3 linked regions of the Drosophila melanogaster genome follow. The protein of the gene in region 2 interacts with the protein of the main gene of each other region in a biochemical or structural test. Each region holds a gene or a part of one and is shown on either strand. Other genes may lie near its edges.

Region 1 (4,743 bases), on a different chromosome or scaffold from region 2:
GTTGATGATGAGGACTGTGCAAGCATGCGAAGCAGTTCGCCGTCAACACAATCCGAGATGCTAGTGGTACCGCCACTTTCGGTGCAACCCACGCGGAAAAACAAGGCCGTTGTGGGCCGCATTTAGAGCTGATGATGATGATGACTCCACAGTCAAATTGTGTATTCCATTTTGGAAGTCTCTTTTTGGAGAGACTCGCTTGCAGTGCTATTCCTTGAGCATTGGTCGCCCATGTCCGAGTGCATATACAAGCTTCGAATTCGTAATCTCACAACACAACCAGAAACAAATTATCGAGCGTCCAATATTGTTTAGATTGTAAAATGTATTGTTAAGTTGCACCTGTCGATAGGAAGGCTCGCAAATGTTGAAGCGTTTGCCCGAGCTGTCGATTGATCATGATTAACTTGTAAATAGTTCTCCATATGTGTACTCCCGTGCCCGTATAATTGTGTCGCGTCGCTAAATGTAATCAACTACTCATTGCAGTGACTAGGGATCGAATTCACGCACGCACCGAACGATCGATTCGGATGGTTTTCGGTCGGATGATCGCCACACCGCAACAAGCTGTGAATGTTTACTGAGTAAATTTTTTAAAAACCCTATCTTACCATATTGATTATAACTCAACGATTTTGCTTGAGTAGGCAATTACGACCCTAAGTCGTAAGGCGTTCAAAGCATGAAGATGTTTAAGTTAATATATGAACAATGATTAAAGGAAAACATTTTTAAATCAAAGCATTTTTTATTCTTAGCTTTGAAGCTGCAAAGTAGGCAACGAATTACACAAACTTCGACAGTTACCACAATCTCACCCGAAAAGATGCAATTGTTGCGCATAGAAAATTAGGTTTTTAATTTAGTCTATAGAACAATTTTGTAGGGGCAATTCCAAGTAAATATTCATATACACCAAGCCAATCATATCTTCCACACTTACGAATCTGGTGTACAAAAATAAAAATATACTAACGTAGAGGACCTAAACAATCGCTTTCAGAGTGTATAAACCGATTTGACGCCCGAATTGAATTTGGACATTGCATCGGAATGAAGTTGATACTGCAAACTATGCGATTGCAAATGAAGGAGTATCTTCAGCTTCTGGCCGATCTCCAGAATGGCCATTTCGTTACTCCCGTTGGCAGTCCAAACCGCTGTAATAGATACAGTTTTTTATCAATGTGCAGAACACATTTGATAAACTTACAGATTTTGTTGCTCTTGTTACGTATATTGATGACAGCTCCGCAGATCTCGTCGGAGTATTCAAAATTTTGGCCCACCATCAGCAGTAGAATGTCCAGCCAAATTTGATCCAATTCCGCTTTGGCACTCTTACTCACGGTGACCAGCCAGCGACCACCCTTGATGTTGGCTTCATCCTCCCACATGGGTCTTTGGGAGTAGAGGATTTAAGTTAGCATCTCTCAATGAACAATGATTTATTCGTACTTTATGCCCTTCTTGAACACGGAGTAATCGCATCCAATCTTCAGCTCCGCTGGGGTCTTGATGGTATGGTACAAGCTCCAGAAGGTCTCCACACTGTCAATCTCGGTAATCTCGTTTAGCATGTCCTTCCAGTGCTTGGTGCGATCGTTTTCCAAATACCACAAAGTCCACACATGCTCCAAAGGATGCTTGTACTCGACTTGGTATATCTCTTCATCGATAGGTTCTGGGCTATTGCTCTCCAGTGGAACACCTTCGTGGTGATGATGATGCTTATGGATACTATTCAGCTGATGTTGCTGATCCTGCTGCTTCATAATATCAAAACTTTGCACTTGTGCACTGGCCATGTTGTTGGTTGACTTGTTTTTTTTTTTTCGATACGAACAGGTAACCTTAATTTATTTGCTGACGGCTGTGTTCTCAACGAATTTTGTCGCGATTCGAGTGGGAATTGCTTACTAATAACCAAAAATACTTTAGCACATTTTTCTAGACCTAAACGAAACCTGTCGAAAAGAAGGAAATGAAATGACAATGACACCTGGGTGTAAGCATACTATGCTGGTTTTTTCTTTTAATATAAATTATTTTTATTCATTTATAAATACTGCAAAACTTAAGACAAATCAATTTACATATTGTTAACATAGAAATGCGCGCTTGGTCCTTAAAAAAAAAAATAATAACATACAAAATGAAAATGTATGCACTCTATTCCAATGGTCAATTAAACACTAAGCGGAGGCACTAGAGAAAACAAATCGAAACAGCTACGGGGTGTTCAAAATAAAAAAAAACACGGTTTTCGTAACCATATTTGAAAAGATTCTCAATTCTTTTAGAAATACGTTAATAAATTATCTCAAGGCTGGTTTTGAATCATCCACCCGTCTAGACCCATAAAACAGCGGCTGCATCCTCGTTGGACAAAGTGGAGAAGCGCTGGTAGCGATTCGCATTGCGATAGGTTTTCGAGGGCGATGGAGCGGTTGATATCTGAGCTTGAACCTGTACTTGAACTTGAGTCTGATTTTGCATGGGCAGCCCCACCATATTTAATCCGGACTTTAGTGTGGAGTTCCTGCTGTCCGAGGACATGGACAGGCGTCGCTGGTTTCCATTCATCAAGGTGGAACTCAGGGGCAAGCCGACATCGTGAAAGGAGCTAATCGAACTGAAGCCACTCTCATCCTCGGTACTGGAACCGCTCTGCTTATTGCTGGTGGTTTTGTTATTGCTATTGCTGATGGCTGTGTTGCTGGCGGTGGTCTGTGTCTGCGTCTCCTCATCCGTTTCCACTTTCGAGGAGGAGGATGCCGTCGACGAGATGGTGGAATGCACGGAACTGTCGGTGGAGCTGCGCAACGATAGCCTCGAGTCGCGCATGTTGTTGGCCCGCAGAAAGATGAGTTCCGCATTTGATTTCCCGCCCGGTGATGGAGTCTCCAGTGTGGCACTCATGATACTGGTGGAATTGTGCAATGGTGGCGTCAGTAGTGTCATCACCGAACTGGTTTTCCCCTTGCATAGGCGGTGATTTCCCGAGGGCAGCGATGAAATGGAAGCGAGCGAGTGGCGCGGCTGCGTGAGATCTGGTTGCTGTTCCGAGGTGTGCAAAAGATTCCTTATGGTTCTGGCCAAACGAAAGGCCTCCTGATTCAGCTTTTCCTCGGCTGCCTCAGGAGCCGATAGACGTGACTTGCAACCGCCACTGCCTCCAGACTTCTTCGGGGATCGACGCCTTTGGCAGAGAGAAGACATTTCGTTATTAATTGTTTGAAAATTATTAGCACTGCTATTGATCTCCCCTTACCATGTAAAATCCTTGAAGGCATTATAGCTTCCAGCTGGTGCAATCGTCTCGTAATTGTGCTCCTCGTCCATGGCATGCATTGATTTATTCAACATCAAATTGGTGCTGCTCCGGGCGCGTAGATATGAAGCTGATCCGCCGCTGGAGGCGTCATCATCCCGAGCATCGCTCTGCAGGGAGGTGTTGCCCACTCCGTGGACATGATGCAGACTCTTGGAGCGGGCAATCTGCTCTCCATTGCGTTGGGTCTGCTGGAGTTGTTGCTGCAACTGGTAGCGCTCAAAGAAGCGGGCCACCTCCTCCATCACCGCTCGGTACATCTCGCAATTGGTTTCGGTCTGAAATTTAGGATTATAAAGTGATTTAGAATACTTAGGGATTGATAAGTGGTAGTTTTTACGCATAATGAAGATAGATTAGATAGATATTGTATCTTTCTTTGGGAATGTAACTTTAGAAACGTGTGGCCCATATTTTAGGTGAGCTTTCAGCTCTTCATGTAAATCTCATTCAATCGACCTTTCTCCGGCTAACTCAGCTTGTATTTCCCCTCCAAAACTTACAGCTTTGCTCCAATGTGCCAGGTCATTGCTTTGACACATTGATAATGCATTTGAACCGATGACTTTAATTTATTATTTATGTTAATTGTAAATGATTTTGCTTGGCAGCAAACATTTGTAGAGCAGCAGCATCGGCATCAGCATCATCATCAGCCTATAAAAACTTTCACTTGATTTTTTATCGCGCCCCTTTACTCTGCGCGCATTTCTCTACTTCATTGTGCTGTGGGTCTTTGGGCCATATCAGCATCATTGGCCAAGTTGATTGGGGGGGAATGTCGCTTTTGGTTAACTTCTGTGGGCCAAATTGTCTAATTATCAAATGCCATTCGAGTCTATGGCGCTTGCCAAATTGGCAGAGACCTCAAAAAGGCGTTAAGATTGCCGATTGCCATCACCTGGCAGGCAGGCACACGCCCACCTCCCGGGCCATTTGAAATTTGGCCAAAACGGGTGGGCATGCAGTTTATATGTACATATATATGTGTGTATATCTGCTGGTTTTTTGGGGAGGCTTCACACGATGCCAAAATAGTTGGTGTCTGGCTGATTATGTAAGTTGGCGATGCAGTCGTTGCTATTGCTATTGCAACGCTTGGAAATTGTTGCTAATTTTTCATTGGACGTTTTTCCGTTTTCGGAGGTTTTCCTACTGCGTGTTCGCCAGAGGTTTTCATTCGAATTACGAATTGTTTTCGTGTGTCTGAGATTTATTTGAAAATGATGTGGAAATTGTTGCCGGCGCGCACTGCTGCTGCTGCTGCTGCTGTATTTGATTTCGATTTTGTTATGCTTTGTTTAATTTCATTAATGCCCAAAGTGTTTTTAGCCATCGTCGAGCAATTGGAGCTGAGAGGATTCGGGTACGAATTTTTCCGATTCCGATTCGGACTCGCTTGGCCT
Region 2 (5,875 bases):
TGGTTTCTTTACATTACATTAGGCACTGTGAGTACAATATAAAAGTATACATATATTCACATTATAAGAAAAACTGCTCATTAAATAAAAAATCGTATTGATATTTAATAAATTTTGGGACCTAAAGTATTTAAAAACTAATTATTAAAAAAAAGGGAGGTGAAATGAAGTTAAGAATTATTTAAAATGAATCTCTTCCTAAAGTCACAGAATTTGCAAGGTTTACCTCTGCTGTAGATGCCGGGTAACTATTATTTGATAACAAACTACTGTTATTGAAATCATACTTTTTACTAGTATTAACACAATTGACGCTAACGCCAACGATATTCTTTTCGTGCATGTAGCTTGTGCCTGCTGTAGTTGTTCCAGCTATTCCCATAGATGTTCCTATTTGCGCATTAGGCAATACTATTTGGTTGTTAATACTGACTCCAGTACAAGAACTTTTTTCACTTCCGACTCCGACGATGGACTTATTTGATACTACTGACCCACTGATGTTGCCATTTTGTTTAATGTCCTGTACATTTAGAAAGCAAACATTTCCATCTAGACTTCCAGTTAATTTTCGGTAACTGGATATGTTATAAATGGCAGTCGAATTCATATCACCCGAATTCAGTTGTCTACTATTTACTGTCAATATGCTTGAACCGTTACAGATAACCGATGACTGGGCTCTAACTGGTTCAGACGCAGATAAGCTTCTATTTACAACGTTTGTATAGCTTTGTTGATGCTGCTGTGTTTGCTGTGGGTGATGGATTGGTGGATGCTGCTGATTCGTCAAGTGTGGGGACTGTTGAGCGATCTGCGCTGATGCCTTAAGAATGGAGACCACATTGTATGCCTTATTTATCTGAAACTGAGGCTGAGCAGTGGGATGGCTATGCTGCGGTTGAAGAGGCTGATGAAGAGATTGTGGCTTTGAAGTTGGCACCTGTTGATCATACTTTTTGGTCTTTTTATTGGCTGGCAAAATCTACAACAGATCACAAGAGTGGGAACATTTTCGGACTGTAAAATTGATTTAACAATGATTAAAAAAAAATGTTGCCGAATATATAAGTTATAAAAACTATTAGATAATTGGTTAATCCTACTTTATTGCACTTAAACAAAGTATTAAAAAAACCAAAACAAACCCATTTAAAAATAAAATGAAACTGAGAAATCAAGAATCGGAATTTTGAGTAGTATTACACTTCTGCACTGTGAAATTTGAATATTATACTTATGCAGATTTTTTAATACTTTTCAGCCTCAAATTTTGTGATAAATAAATCCAGAATTAACAAATATATATAAAACATGCATTGGGTTTGATAATTTTATTAGGGTTTAGAGTTTTTGTCCTACGTCCCCTATGGACAAATAATGTTTATGGGATTTAGCTGTCTAACACAGTTCAAATGATAGATTACAAGATTAATTAATTAATAAAAAAAAAGTTGTGCGTACAAAATAAGAACACTAAATGATTAAAAACAATTAAACTATTATTTATTTTGTTATAGCTTCATTTAATTTTCCGACTGTTGCTCCTTAGTCGTCGCCGGCATGTTGACAATTAGCCTTAAAACCAAAGTTATACGCGGTCAAAAAACGGTGTATATCAAGTTGTCATTCAGAAATAAAAAGTATGAAGCTATTATCTTCTGGACTATTTTATATTTATTTTACTCGGCTGCTGATACTGATAAAGAATATATATATAATTTATATGGTCCCAAATATCTCTTTTACTGCGATTTAAATATATGCCTTATATCATTAAGCCCTTCAAAAGGACATCACTATAAAATACAATATCAAGTTGACATTTTATGAATAAAAACAACGAAACTATTATATTAGGGACTATTATATATGGACTGATTCTGTGACTTGGATATGTGAAATCATTAATCCTTTAAATCAATATAATAAAATACATTTCGAATATTTTTTTTCCCTTGGATAGATTAATCACAATGCGTTTTGAGTTTAGCTTTAAAATTACGTTGCTGAGTGTCTGCCAGTTACCAACAAACCAGATTCAGCATCCATTTTTGGAGCCACCGTTGAAATAAAAATTTTTTTAATTAATATTTTTACCGATAAAAACTATATGATTTATGTATGTTTGGAAAAACGCGGTTTTTTATAGTTTAGGTTTTAAATAAAGTACTTCATACCATGCCCGGAAGAGCTTCATTTATGAATTATGTAGCTTTACAGGACTAGAACAATTATTAGTATTCAATCAAGTTCGTTAAAAAAATTTTTAATTTTTTAATTCATTTAGTAAGTAACTTAAATAATTGTAATCGCAAACATATATTTTATAAATTTTTTAATTGAATTATATACCTTTTATACAAACCGCAATATTTATAAAACAAACATATAAAAAAATTCCACAAAAATAGCATTTTCTTTTTAAACTTTGCTGTTATTGTACGAGAAGTGTGATACTATCTTAATAGATTGTTTACATTGACTACAGCAGGCAAACTTATAAAAAATAGGTTTTAGCTCTTTTCGGAACTAGGAAAACATATTTATTTAACGAACTAATTTAAAACAATTGCAAGGAAAGTAATACAGCAAATAATGTCAAAATGTATATATGTAAATAATTTTGGAGATGTTATTTTTATATCGACTTACCATATTTTGTGCTGAATGGGGCTGCATGGCTTTATCTATATCTGATTGTGTTGGTAAAGTTGGTATAGCCTGTTGCATTACGTATGTGTATTCCTAGAGTTAGCTCTGTAGGAAATCGCCAAACGGTTAGATTTACCGTTTCATAGACGATTTCTGTGGTGATTTTGGACCCACAAATACGACGTCATTCAATCATTTGATTCTTTAATGAATATTAATGAATATTAATTGTCCACGTTTCAGTTCTGCATATTTTACCTGGAAATATATTGATATACAGCTACCAGAGAGGTCTCTGAAATTAAAAGAACTGACACGTATAAAATCATTAAATATCACAAAAGATTTCACCCAAATGTTTCAAAAATATAAAGTAGACATTTTGTAATTTATTAAGTCTAGAGCTGAAGCCCAGAGATAATTTCTATTAAACATTTGCCAATCCATCCTGGAGCCTTACTTATTTGCCGACGTTGCCGTTGTGACTTTGGAGATTTCGTTCTCACAATCACAATGGTGCATATGGTGAAAACGTGCCACGAATTCCATCGTTTACATCATTTTTAAAAAGTTAAGACACATTTCAGAATGTTAGTGGTAAAATCTTTTTTCCCTTCACTGTGCACAGTAAACTTGCAAAGTATCATGTAATATTTGTTGCCCAGTGCTCATTATTAACCATCAATTTACCTGAGCAAATGTTTGTATGTGCCTATCCGACGTGATTATGTACAAAAAATACAAATGTTAAGAATTCCACTTTAAGTGTATTTTAAAAATGTATTTATTTATAAAAATGAAGCAGTAATTCCAGCTTTATCTTTACATTCAAAAACTATTTTTTAATAATTTCCACATGCAATGTGTTCTGTTCATACGAACAGAGTTGCATTTATTATTTGAAACATCGATAGCACACAAGAAATAGTGATAACTGAAGAATATCATTATCAACGATAGTTAGGTCACATTTTTAAACGCTTCATCATTAATAATTTAATTTTTTGCTAACCATAAGTTTTTAAAAATAAAAAAAAAATCATATTTCAATGTTAATTATTTACTAAAACTACTTCATAATACGTTTATTCTATTGAGGTTTGCCAAAATTATAATAATGATTGTACATGCTATGCCAGCGTTCAATTCCTGATAATGAGCCCTTTCCGCAACATGGCTAAATAGATCATTATATCTAAGAATACAACATATGGGCAACTTTAAAACAAAATGTTAATTTCATCGTAATTAGGGTTTCTTGAACGTAAAATATAATTAGTTAATTATGGCCAAAATAAGACCCTTTCACACTGACTAAAATACATATGACAATAAAGAAATTGGTAAAAAACGATTCTATATTACATCAAAATATCGATAAATAAAAGAATTTAAATCAAAACAAAAATAATCCGTATTCAGACCCAATTATTTTATATTATTATTATATATTTTTTTTTTTTGGCACGGGTCCAACGGCGACACCTCCCGACCAACCGAACGAGGGGCGCTGCCGTGTATCGTACGCCTCGATTAGCGAGAGGATAGACGCGATATAAAAAAGAGAACAGGATCGAGGAAATGAATATAATATAAAATAACTATATTAAATATTACTGTTAGTAGGATCTAATCATAAAATAAAAAAAGGTAAAATCAATTGCTTTGTGAGCGGCAGAGAGTCAAGATTACAGATATTAGGATAAAGTCTATTATAATCAGAACATAATACTCTGTAAGGGTCACGCAACTCATAGTTAGATCTACAATGATTTAAAATAAGGAACTGAGAACTGAAATAAGGAACTGAGAACTACTACTGAGAACTACTTCGAACTGAGAAGTTAAGCCGACTAATCAAGTCAGAACTCTTAACATCCCCACGAATAAGCTTACAAATAAAGACTGTTCCAAGCATAGTTCTACCAAAGACACTAGAATAACAAGATGCGTAGCGGCCATACATTGGTTTGGCACTATGCAGCCAATTTTTTAGTGACGGCCAAAATTGCTCTCTTTCCGCTCGCTCCCGCTGAGAGCATAAGAAATCTAAAAATAGAATTTGCTTGCTTGTGTGAGTAAAAACAAGAGACGAGAACGCATATATGTGTGCGTGTTGTGCTAGAAGACGATTTTCGGACCGAAATCAATTCTGATCGAAAAAACGAATTTACATTGTACATATTAGGGTAGTTTTTGCCAATTTCGTAGCAATATGATAAAATAAAATAATTTTTAACTGACTATTATCATTTTAAAGCTTTTTAAATTTGTTTGTTAAAATCGCCGCTCGAATTAGCTACCGTTTACACATTTATATTTATGTTTAATTCTAATTTGTCTCTCATCTGACAATTTTTTAAGAAAGCGAAATATTTTTTTTTTTAAACACTTTTAATGTTAATGTTACATCATATAAAGTCAAATGACATAATAAATATAGTAAATAATTAAATATGATAACTGTTTATTGCAAAAGTCATATCAAAGACACTAGAATTATTCTAGTGTCTTTGCTTTGTTCATATCTTGAAGCACGAAGTACGGACACAAGCACTCAACAATCATTGCCTTATTAATTTTTCACACGCCGCAAGATGAATACTCTAATGACAAATATTCTTATATAAAGTCATTTTTGAAATTTATTTTTGTGATAATATGTACATAGATTTGGCTATTTCTAATCTATTTTCATATAATAATAACGTTAAGGCAATGCAAAACAAGAATTTTTCGCATGGTGCCAATTGATCAAAAATAATATAGATTTAAAGTCAAAGAACTTCTAAGGTGAAGGGCATATTTTGTGAAATTTACAATGCATGAGCGAGCATACGTGTGCACACATACAGTTGTCTGCTATCACTTTATGCGATGAAAAGAGCTGTTCGCTGTAGCACTCTCCGCTCTCTCGCTCTCTAACAAAAATTCGAGAGAGCCTGGAGCCACCTCTAGAGCCACGGCGAAAAAATCGTGTGCCAAAAAATCGTATGGCGTTACGCATCTTGTTATTCTAGTGTCTTTGGTTCTACGGTTAGCTAGGGACGGTAAATTAAATTAACGTAGTGTACTGGAATAAGGAGGTAATATACGGTTTGCATCCCACTTTAGGCGCCGCAAGCAAAACGTAATAAGTTTTTTTGGACCGATTCAATGCGGTCCGAGTGGACTGCGTATTGTGGACTCCAAACAGGTGATAGTGATCCGTACTCGAGAA
Region 3 (7,452 bases), on a different chromosome or scaffold from region 2:
TATATGTTACAGATTTTCCGTTTCGGTTTATTGCCAATACCATTGTTAAACATCGGACTAGTCCGTAAGCCCCCTTACCCACCATCCCCCACCGTTTGGGATCGCAAACCAAATCGATACAATGGCTTCTCGCTTTCGCTTTCCTCGGTTTTCCATCTCTAATAAGTGGGTGCCCAACTACAACGGTTGGTGGCCATAGAAAATCGTTAAGGTGTTTAATCAATGGCTCTGGCTCGTTGGCACAATGGAATGAAATTAAGTGCCATAAATCAATGGCGAAATATAGGTGAGCTCGCTTTTATGGTGCGCACTTGGGCCAAATCACCTGGGCCTTGACCTTTTTCGTGGAGTCACCAGAATATTTGGTAAATAGTAAATCCTCGCAAGAGTGGCTAAAAAAAGCTCAGGAAGAAATTAGAAGGTAGGAAAATGGTCACAGCAAGGCACAGAAAATACATTAAGCACATTAAAGCCCGTCAAATGGAAAAGTGGCCAAGAACAGCAACAAAAGGAATTCAGTGCCAGGAGAACGCACCTGCCTCCACTCCAACATCATTGGCTCCCCTTACGTGGTCACCCAAAGCAGTCACAATAAAATGCCAACTGCCAATAAATGCCAATAAATCAAACAATTGAGCACGGCCAAGTTGTGTGACGCCGTGCGCCAAATAAGTCCAACGGCCAATGTCCAATGTCCAAATGTCCCATGTCCGCTGACCGATGTGAAAGCGAACAAAAAGCTAGCAACCAACTTCTGAATGCCCGCCCCAATGGTTAGCAGTGGAGCAGACAAAGAACATCCAATACACCGATTGGAACTCAGGAATCGAGACAAACCATGTTGCATGTTCTTGGAATCGGGTTAAATTAGTAAAGAAGGTGCATAGTTAGAAACATTTCGCAGTCTCTCTCCAACACTCTCCAATTTCACACTTTAAAACAAACAACTTCTTGACCAAATAGTTATGTATTTATTTCGTCGCTCTATAGGAGCAACATTCAAATTTTTATGTACAACGTGTACGTGTACGGATGGTTTGACTAGAGATTTGGAACCCAACTAACTATCGATCGATGGCTGATCACACCTGCTTGACATTTCAAGTTCTTGTGAAAAAATACCGAAAATACTGAAAATGTTTCGATTCGCAATTGTCTGATGAGAACCTATACAGTGTATATTCTCTTCACAGTTGATCCCAGTTTATCCTTGGAGTCCTTGTGCAACTGATACTCCAGCACGTATATGTTGTCCATGCGTAGAACCTTGCGTAAAATGCGTCCAATTTCAAGGACTGTAGTCTGATTTCCCCCGTCAGCGTTCCAAATAGAGATCTTGTTCGACTTTCCGCGAATATTGACCACAACGCCACAAAGATCGTCCGAGTGCTTACAGGCCTCTCCAATCAGACAGAGCATGGCGTCCATCCAGAAACTGTCCAGAGCCATCTTGGCGCTCTTGGTCAAGTTGATGACCCAGCGTCCTCCATTGACATTGGCCTCATCCTCCCACATGGGTCGAATGCCCTTCTTGAACAGGGAGTAGTCACTGCCCAGCATAAGCTCGGATGGGGGCTTGATGTGAGTGATCAGGCTCCAAAACTTCTCCACGGTATCGAAGCTTGTAACCTTGTGCAGCATTTCTTCCCAACTTTTATTTCGATCGTTCTCTAGATACCACAGAGTCCAGCAGTTGTTGAGTGGATGTTGAGGATCCTCGACCTCCAAAAGTTCGGCGTTCTCCGCCGCGATGGTCAGATCATCATCACATTTATTGTTCAGTGACAGAAATTCTAGTGAATTGTCAAAAGCGACCACCGCATCTTCTTTTTTGGCCGGTGGACATGTGTTCTGTTTAATCCTGGGCTCGAGCCTCAAGCTCAAAAGCTTCTGCTCGGATAACCGCATTAGGACCTTCTGCCCTAAAAGATTTTCTTGTGTGATTATCTTTCCCTGCATATTCTTTTCGATTAGCTTCTTGTCCTGCAGATCCTTGTCGAGCACATTCTTCCTATATTGTGCACTAGTCGACTGCTCCTGTTCAGGGCTATTTTCTTTCTGCTGGACCATCTGTTTTCCTTGGCCTTTACCCTTCTCATTGTCATCATTTCCCGTCGACTTTCCATCTTTGCCCGGATTGTTGCTTCGACTGCTCTTGCTCGTCTGACTGGGAGTGCGTGGCGCATTCTTTTGATTCTTCTTGCCCTTCCGGTTCCCCTTGCCACGTTTTTGGGGCTCTGATGGCGACGTTTTGTTTGGATCATTCATCGGTTCTTGGGTCTTTTCTGGTTGAGTATCTTCAGTGGATTGAGGAGCTGCAGCAGGCTGGGTAACATCAGTTGGTGACTCCACTTTTTGGGGACCTTGTGTGGGATATTCATTGTTGTTCGCACAGCTTTTAAACATTGTTCTCGGATTGGCAAAGTCCCTCATCCTGTAAAAGCTGTTGGGAAGCATGGCGGCTTTGTTCGAGGTCAGCAACGGCTGTAGAGTTATACGGAAATGGCGAGGTTAGCGCTATGTTTAAACAAACAAATCTAACAAAAAAAAGGGTTAATATAATGGCGATTTTTGGGATCTTTCATTTTCGTAGCTTCCTATACAATTATATATATGATGAATCCACAAAGCCAAGCCAAACGCTCTTTCTGAACTTCCGACTAATGAGGCAAACAAGCCAACATGCCCCTTTTCTCTAAGACGTGAGCTGGAAATTTCTTCTTTGGAAGCACGAAAGGAAAAACTGACCAAGACCAAGGGACGTGTGCAGAAGTTGGCAACTTTAGCAACAAATATTTACACACCCCCCGAACTGAATGATTTGAGTGGGTGCAAAACCCCAAACACACGGGTGTAAGGTAACACAGCACGCATTTCTTATTAGCTGGGTCAAGTTGTGCTTGCCCCTTGGAAATAACCGAGTAAAAGCGTTTTTCACACGCCAAAATCTCCGATAGAAAAGATTACGATGCCTTGGTATTTACGCATCTTTTAAAATCATTAAAAATTCTCTACATTTACGATATGCAGCGGACGAAGGAATCTTTATGTAATGGCATCACAAAAGTAAACCACCAGGAGAACAAACTTTGATTTGACTCTGGCTGCCATAAGTTAAAATGGGGTCAAAAGGACTCGAATTTATGAGTGAGAAAAAATCAATCAGAAATTGGAATCAGAAACAGAATCCAAGGCGTGGCAAATGTTTGAGCGGACTTGGACTTTGAGCGAGTGTTGTGCTTTCACGCTTTTGGCAAGCAGTTTATGGCCATTTTATTTGACCCGATTTTGTTTTAATGGAATATCTGTGCCTTAACCATGGACTTCATATGTACATTTGTATCACTTGGCATGGGCTAAGAACTGTACAGATATGGGAATCTCCTTTCACTTCTGCCATACAAATTAGGGAAACAACAAAGGCAACACATTGCAGGAGGTTTTCCTTCTTAAAAGCCGTTTAGGGATCTCATACCCGACATTTCCAAATGTTCCTCTTTTAACTTAAATGACATCAAAATGAAAAGCAGGGCCAAAACAGAAACAGAAACTACAAGACGTGCGGGTGCACTTAGCGAAAGTATTACAGAGATCAACTAAATTTTATCGCGACAGTAGTTTAGATTATAGCATGTAATGAACTGCTTTTGAATCTTTATGTCACTGTACTTTGGCGATCTAGATTCATTTCAATGAATAATTTACTTATGGGAGTAGTCGAAAGCCACAATAGAAGGCACCTTGGATTTCTCTCAGTTCCCGCAAAGCAGTTTCGCCCTTCTCAGTTCCTATCGATGCAATTTTTTATTTGGCCCGATGCGATGTAAATATTGCATTAGACGGGGCCAAAGTGTTGGGCAAATTTATTGGCAGCACATAAATCGAGGACTCGCCCTCAACGGGTCGGTTGTCGTCTGTTGAAAAAGTAAATGTTCTAAAGGTAAATATGCACACAGCGAGGAAGTGGCACTCATTCAGTTGAACGTTGGAAGTGGGAAGGAAGTTGAAGGAAGGTGGACTACTCTACATTGGCATCTGTGCTCGCCTTCTGTGACCTATGACCTGTGAGCCATCGTCGCTGGCTGAAATGCCGAAATGTTGAAATGTTCAAATGCCGGCTGCTGACTGCTAGCTGCCTCGAAAAACTGATGAAAATGCAAAAATGTTGTTCCCAGTCCTTGCCTTTCCCCTCGGCTGCTATGCCAATTTTAATTAACAAAAAACATGAGCAGCTCCCTGTTGCGTTGTGTGTGTTTTGTTTAGCTCTGTTTTGTTTTGTTTTGTTTAGTTTAGTTCAGCTCTGTTCTGTTTTGTTTTGTTTGGCTAGTTTGAACTTTGTTCCTCGTATTCTTGTATGCCGGTTGCACTAGACGGGTGATGGGGTTAAGCAGGGGTAGCTCCATCCCCACTACCGTCAATCCGCTCAATTGCTCTAGCCCAACTTTTTGCATACTTTCGGGGATTCCCAGTAATCGGCGGCAGCCAATGAAATCTAAGCTGACCGACAGACAAGACATACTACATACGACAAGGAACACACTACCTTATTTGTAAACGAAGATGACGAAGGAGGAGAAACCCAACGAACAGTTCTAATGCCATAATTAATCACTACGAATTGGGTCTACACAACTTACCTAACGCACTGCGAATATCCGAATACCGCTTAGGTCAATCAAAATATATCAACAAATAAATCGCAATGGTTTTGTAAATAAAATTTGACTAAAACCCGGTTGTTCTCACAACGAAGTGTCGTCCAAAACTGATTTATATTTCTAGACTTACTTTGCTCTGAAAAATGACTTTTGGTAACAAAAGTCCGGTCCCACTTCGGTACTATTCTGCATTTTTTCCCATCACTGGGATCGGATTCGCGAGTATATGGCCTAATCCGAACTCCACTAAGCGCTCCTGGATTACAGCTAAAGCATTTAATTAAAAAATTGCATTGCTTTTGTTTTTGCGCGCTGCCATAATTTGCATGCCAACAACACTATGGCCTGCCTGTTTGCTCATATCATTAATTCGCAATTTGGCCAAATAATAATGAATATTTTCATCTTGTGTCGCTTTTTGCCCTGTTCAGTTCAGTTCAGTTAGCTCTGAGCGTGTTTTTGTTCACATTTGTATATTTGTTCATGTCCGTTCAGACATTCGCATTCAAATGTTTTGCGTTTTGTGTTCTTGTGCAATGCAATTAATTAGAAGTGGATAAATGGTGCATGAGTGTGCGCAAATTAAATTAAATTCTATGTGCATTTTTGCATTTTGCCAGCGAATGAATCGCTCTGAAAAAGTCATTTGGAGTTGAAATGCAAACACGGCATTCTGAAATCATCAAGCATTATGAGAATGCATAAACTGAAATTGAACCATAAACGCATGCCCCCCGCAAGCGGATTGCGGGTATTATCATTATGAAATGCTAAATCGTGTAAAATATTTAAAGAGTCGTTAGCAGTTGCATTACGCAAAAAAGCAACACATCAAATACAAACATCCCAATGCATCAAAAAGGCAATCAGAGGGCGGTTGTGGCGTCGGTGAGTCCACCTCCAACCCGACCAACAGTTCGTGGCCGACTGAAGCAAACGACAAGGATTTCCCAGGACCTGCTCGATCGAGCAACAGAGGGACAGGCAACTTAACAGACAACCGTGGAAACTTAACAGCTGTTGTAGGCAACTCATAGACGGAATCATGAAGAATATTGTGCCAAAATACAGCATTTTCTTTTATTGCTTGCCCAAATAATCACATGATAAACCCACAAAGAAGCCAGATATCAGTAATTTAAATAACTTTGGCACAGCTTAAAAGCCATAAATACATGCATACAGCGTTACACGCACTTGCACTTGCGGTGCATATAATAAGCCTCAGTTTTTGGAAAATCCCTCGCCTTCACACATACCACGAACTTGGGATCTGTGGATGGGACTATTGCCATCAATAGCCTGGCAGAGGGCTATCAATGAAAATCAATGTTCATCATATCGGGGCCGCACTTCACTGAAGGCAATCGTCTGTTTTTTCTGGCCAGGAGCTCTTTCAGCGGAAACGAATGCATTTCCTCGCGGATCCATTCCAATCGCTGCTCCCAAGAAGGCACTAAAATGGTAGGTGGGCTCCTTAAATGTACATTCTGATATTGACACACTTTTAATACACTCTGACCCCAGCGAAAGCTTTTCCTAATTGGAAGTTTTTCTTACTTTGCCTCCGATCTACGAGTAGTTCATCAAATATATCCACATTCGACCGCCTCTGAAGCCGGGCAGCACCATCGTAGCTGTCCAAAAGGAGTCCCAAAAGGAGGAGTAACTTGATGAAAATTATCACGAACAAAACGCGGAACAGGCGTGTGTAGCTAGCCGACATATCGAATTTTGAATGATTCGGAACATACCGTCAAAAGCCAGAGTCACCGCGGCCTCGACATCTGTTCAAAACTGGTGGCGAAATGTTTTCTTTATCCGTCGACTTGGAGCTGTGACCTTATCGATGGAAACTTGTAAAGTCGTACTGGAAAAACACTAAAGCCCCAAACTGTGTTCTGTGTTCAGATAAACAAAAACACTAAAGAAGTTTGCTAATTATTGAGCTAAGGGACACATTCAACCTAAGCTGAAAAAATTACAAGTAGAAATTCACTATTTCTACGTATACCCAAGTTTAATAGGTAGAGCAACACATCGACCAGGAAATGCGTCCAAAAACAGGCGACAGGACCGGAAACCAAAAACGAAATGCAGACAGCAACTAAAACTCAAGCAGACACCAAAACCAGCCAAGCGGAATCAGGCGCAAGTTTTAAGAATAACAAACAAGAATAGGGCGACTCACGTGTGGCTTCGTTGCAAGGATCCGCAGAAAGTTGGCACAAGGTGTGCAATAGACACCGGGAACCCCAGCCCAGTCCCATGCCAAAACCCAAATACGAGTACAAGTAAGCGGCAAAATACTGAGTGCACACGAAAACGCACCTGGGCGCAAATGAATGATGATGATGTTGCCACAACAGCCGCAGGCAGAAGCAGCAGTAGCAGTTTCTTTCACAAGGTTCTCAACAGTGTCAAAAGATGCCATCGCCGTGGATTAATATTGTGTGGATCAACTGTTTTACTTGGTTTAAGTCATTTTTGTTCGAAGTAAGCCCAGTGAACTGAACTTAAATGTTAAAATTGAAGCTATTTACTTTAATGCGCCGTTCTCTGCGCTTCTCAAAAATCCAACTGTATGCACATCGCAACGCTTTAAAAATTTGCTTACCTCTAAGCGCCGTTCTCGCGTGCCTCATATACAAGCATTGCACCGCATCAGTAATTTAATGACTTTTAAGCGCCGTTCTCTGCGCTTCTCAAAAATCCAAGTGTATGCACATTGTAACTCTTTAAAGATTTAATTACTTTTAAGCGCCATTCACTGGGCTTCTCAAAGTCCAAGCAT

What was found.
Region 1: the proteins of eIF4G1 (region 2) and eIF4E5 form a complex in vitro, tested with the Drosophila melanogaster proteins (one study listed by BioGRID).
Region 3: the proteins of eIF4G1 (region 2) and eIF4E7 form a complex in vitro, tested with the Drosophila melanogaster proteins (one study listed by BioGRID).

The regions. Positions count from the first base shown.
Region 1 is NT_037436.4:7,892,107-7,896,849, reverse strand, and holds eIF4E5 (eukaryotic translation initiation factor 4E5), read right to left. Parts: upstream 1,971-4,743; 5' UTR 1,812-1,970; coding exon 1,462-1,811; intron 1,405-1,461; coding exon 1,217-1,404; intron 1,164-1,216; coding exon 1,003-1,163; 3' UTR 841-1,002; downstream 1-840. Other genes in the region: pbl (pebble), read left to right, coding at 1-126; CG32365 (uncharacterized protein), read right to left, coding at 2,356-3,205, 3,278-3,615.
Region 2 is NC_004353.4:927,167-933,041, forward strand, and holds the start of eIF4G1 (eukaryotic translation initiation factor 4G1), read right to left. Parts: upstream 3,550-5,875; 5' UTR 3,346-3,549; exon of another isoform or gene 3,116-3,345; intron 2,966-3,115; 5' UTR 2,914-2,965; intron 2,858-2,913; 5' UTR 2,734-2,857; coding exon 2,656-2,733; intron 986-2,655; coding exon 227-985; intron 1-226.
Region 3 is NC_004354.4:1,157,649-1,165,100, forward strand, and holds eIF4E7 (eukaryotic translation initiation factor 4E7), read right to left. Parts: upstream 4,742-7,452; 5' UTR 4,638-4,741; intron 2,485-4,637; 5' UTR 2,458-2,484; coding exon 1,168-2,457; 3' UTR 951-1,167; downstream 1-950.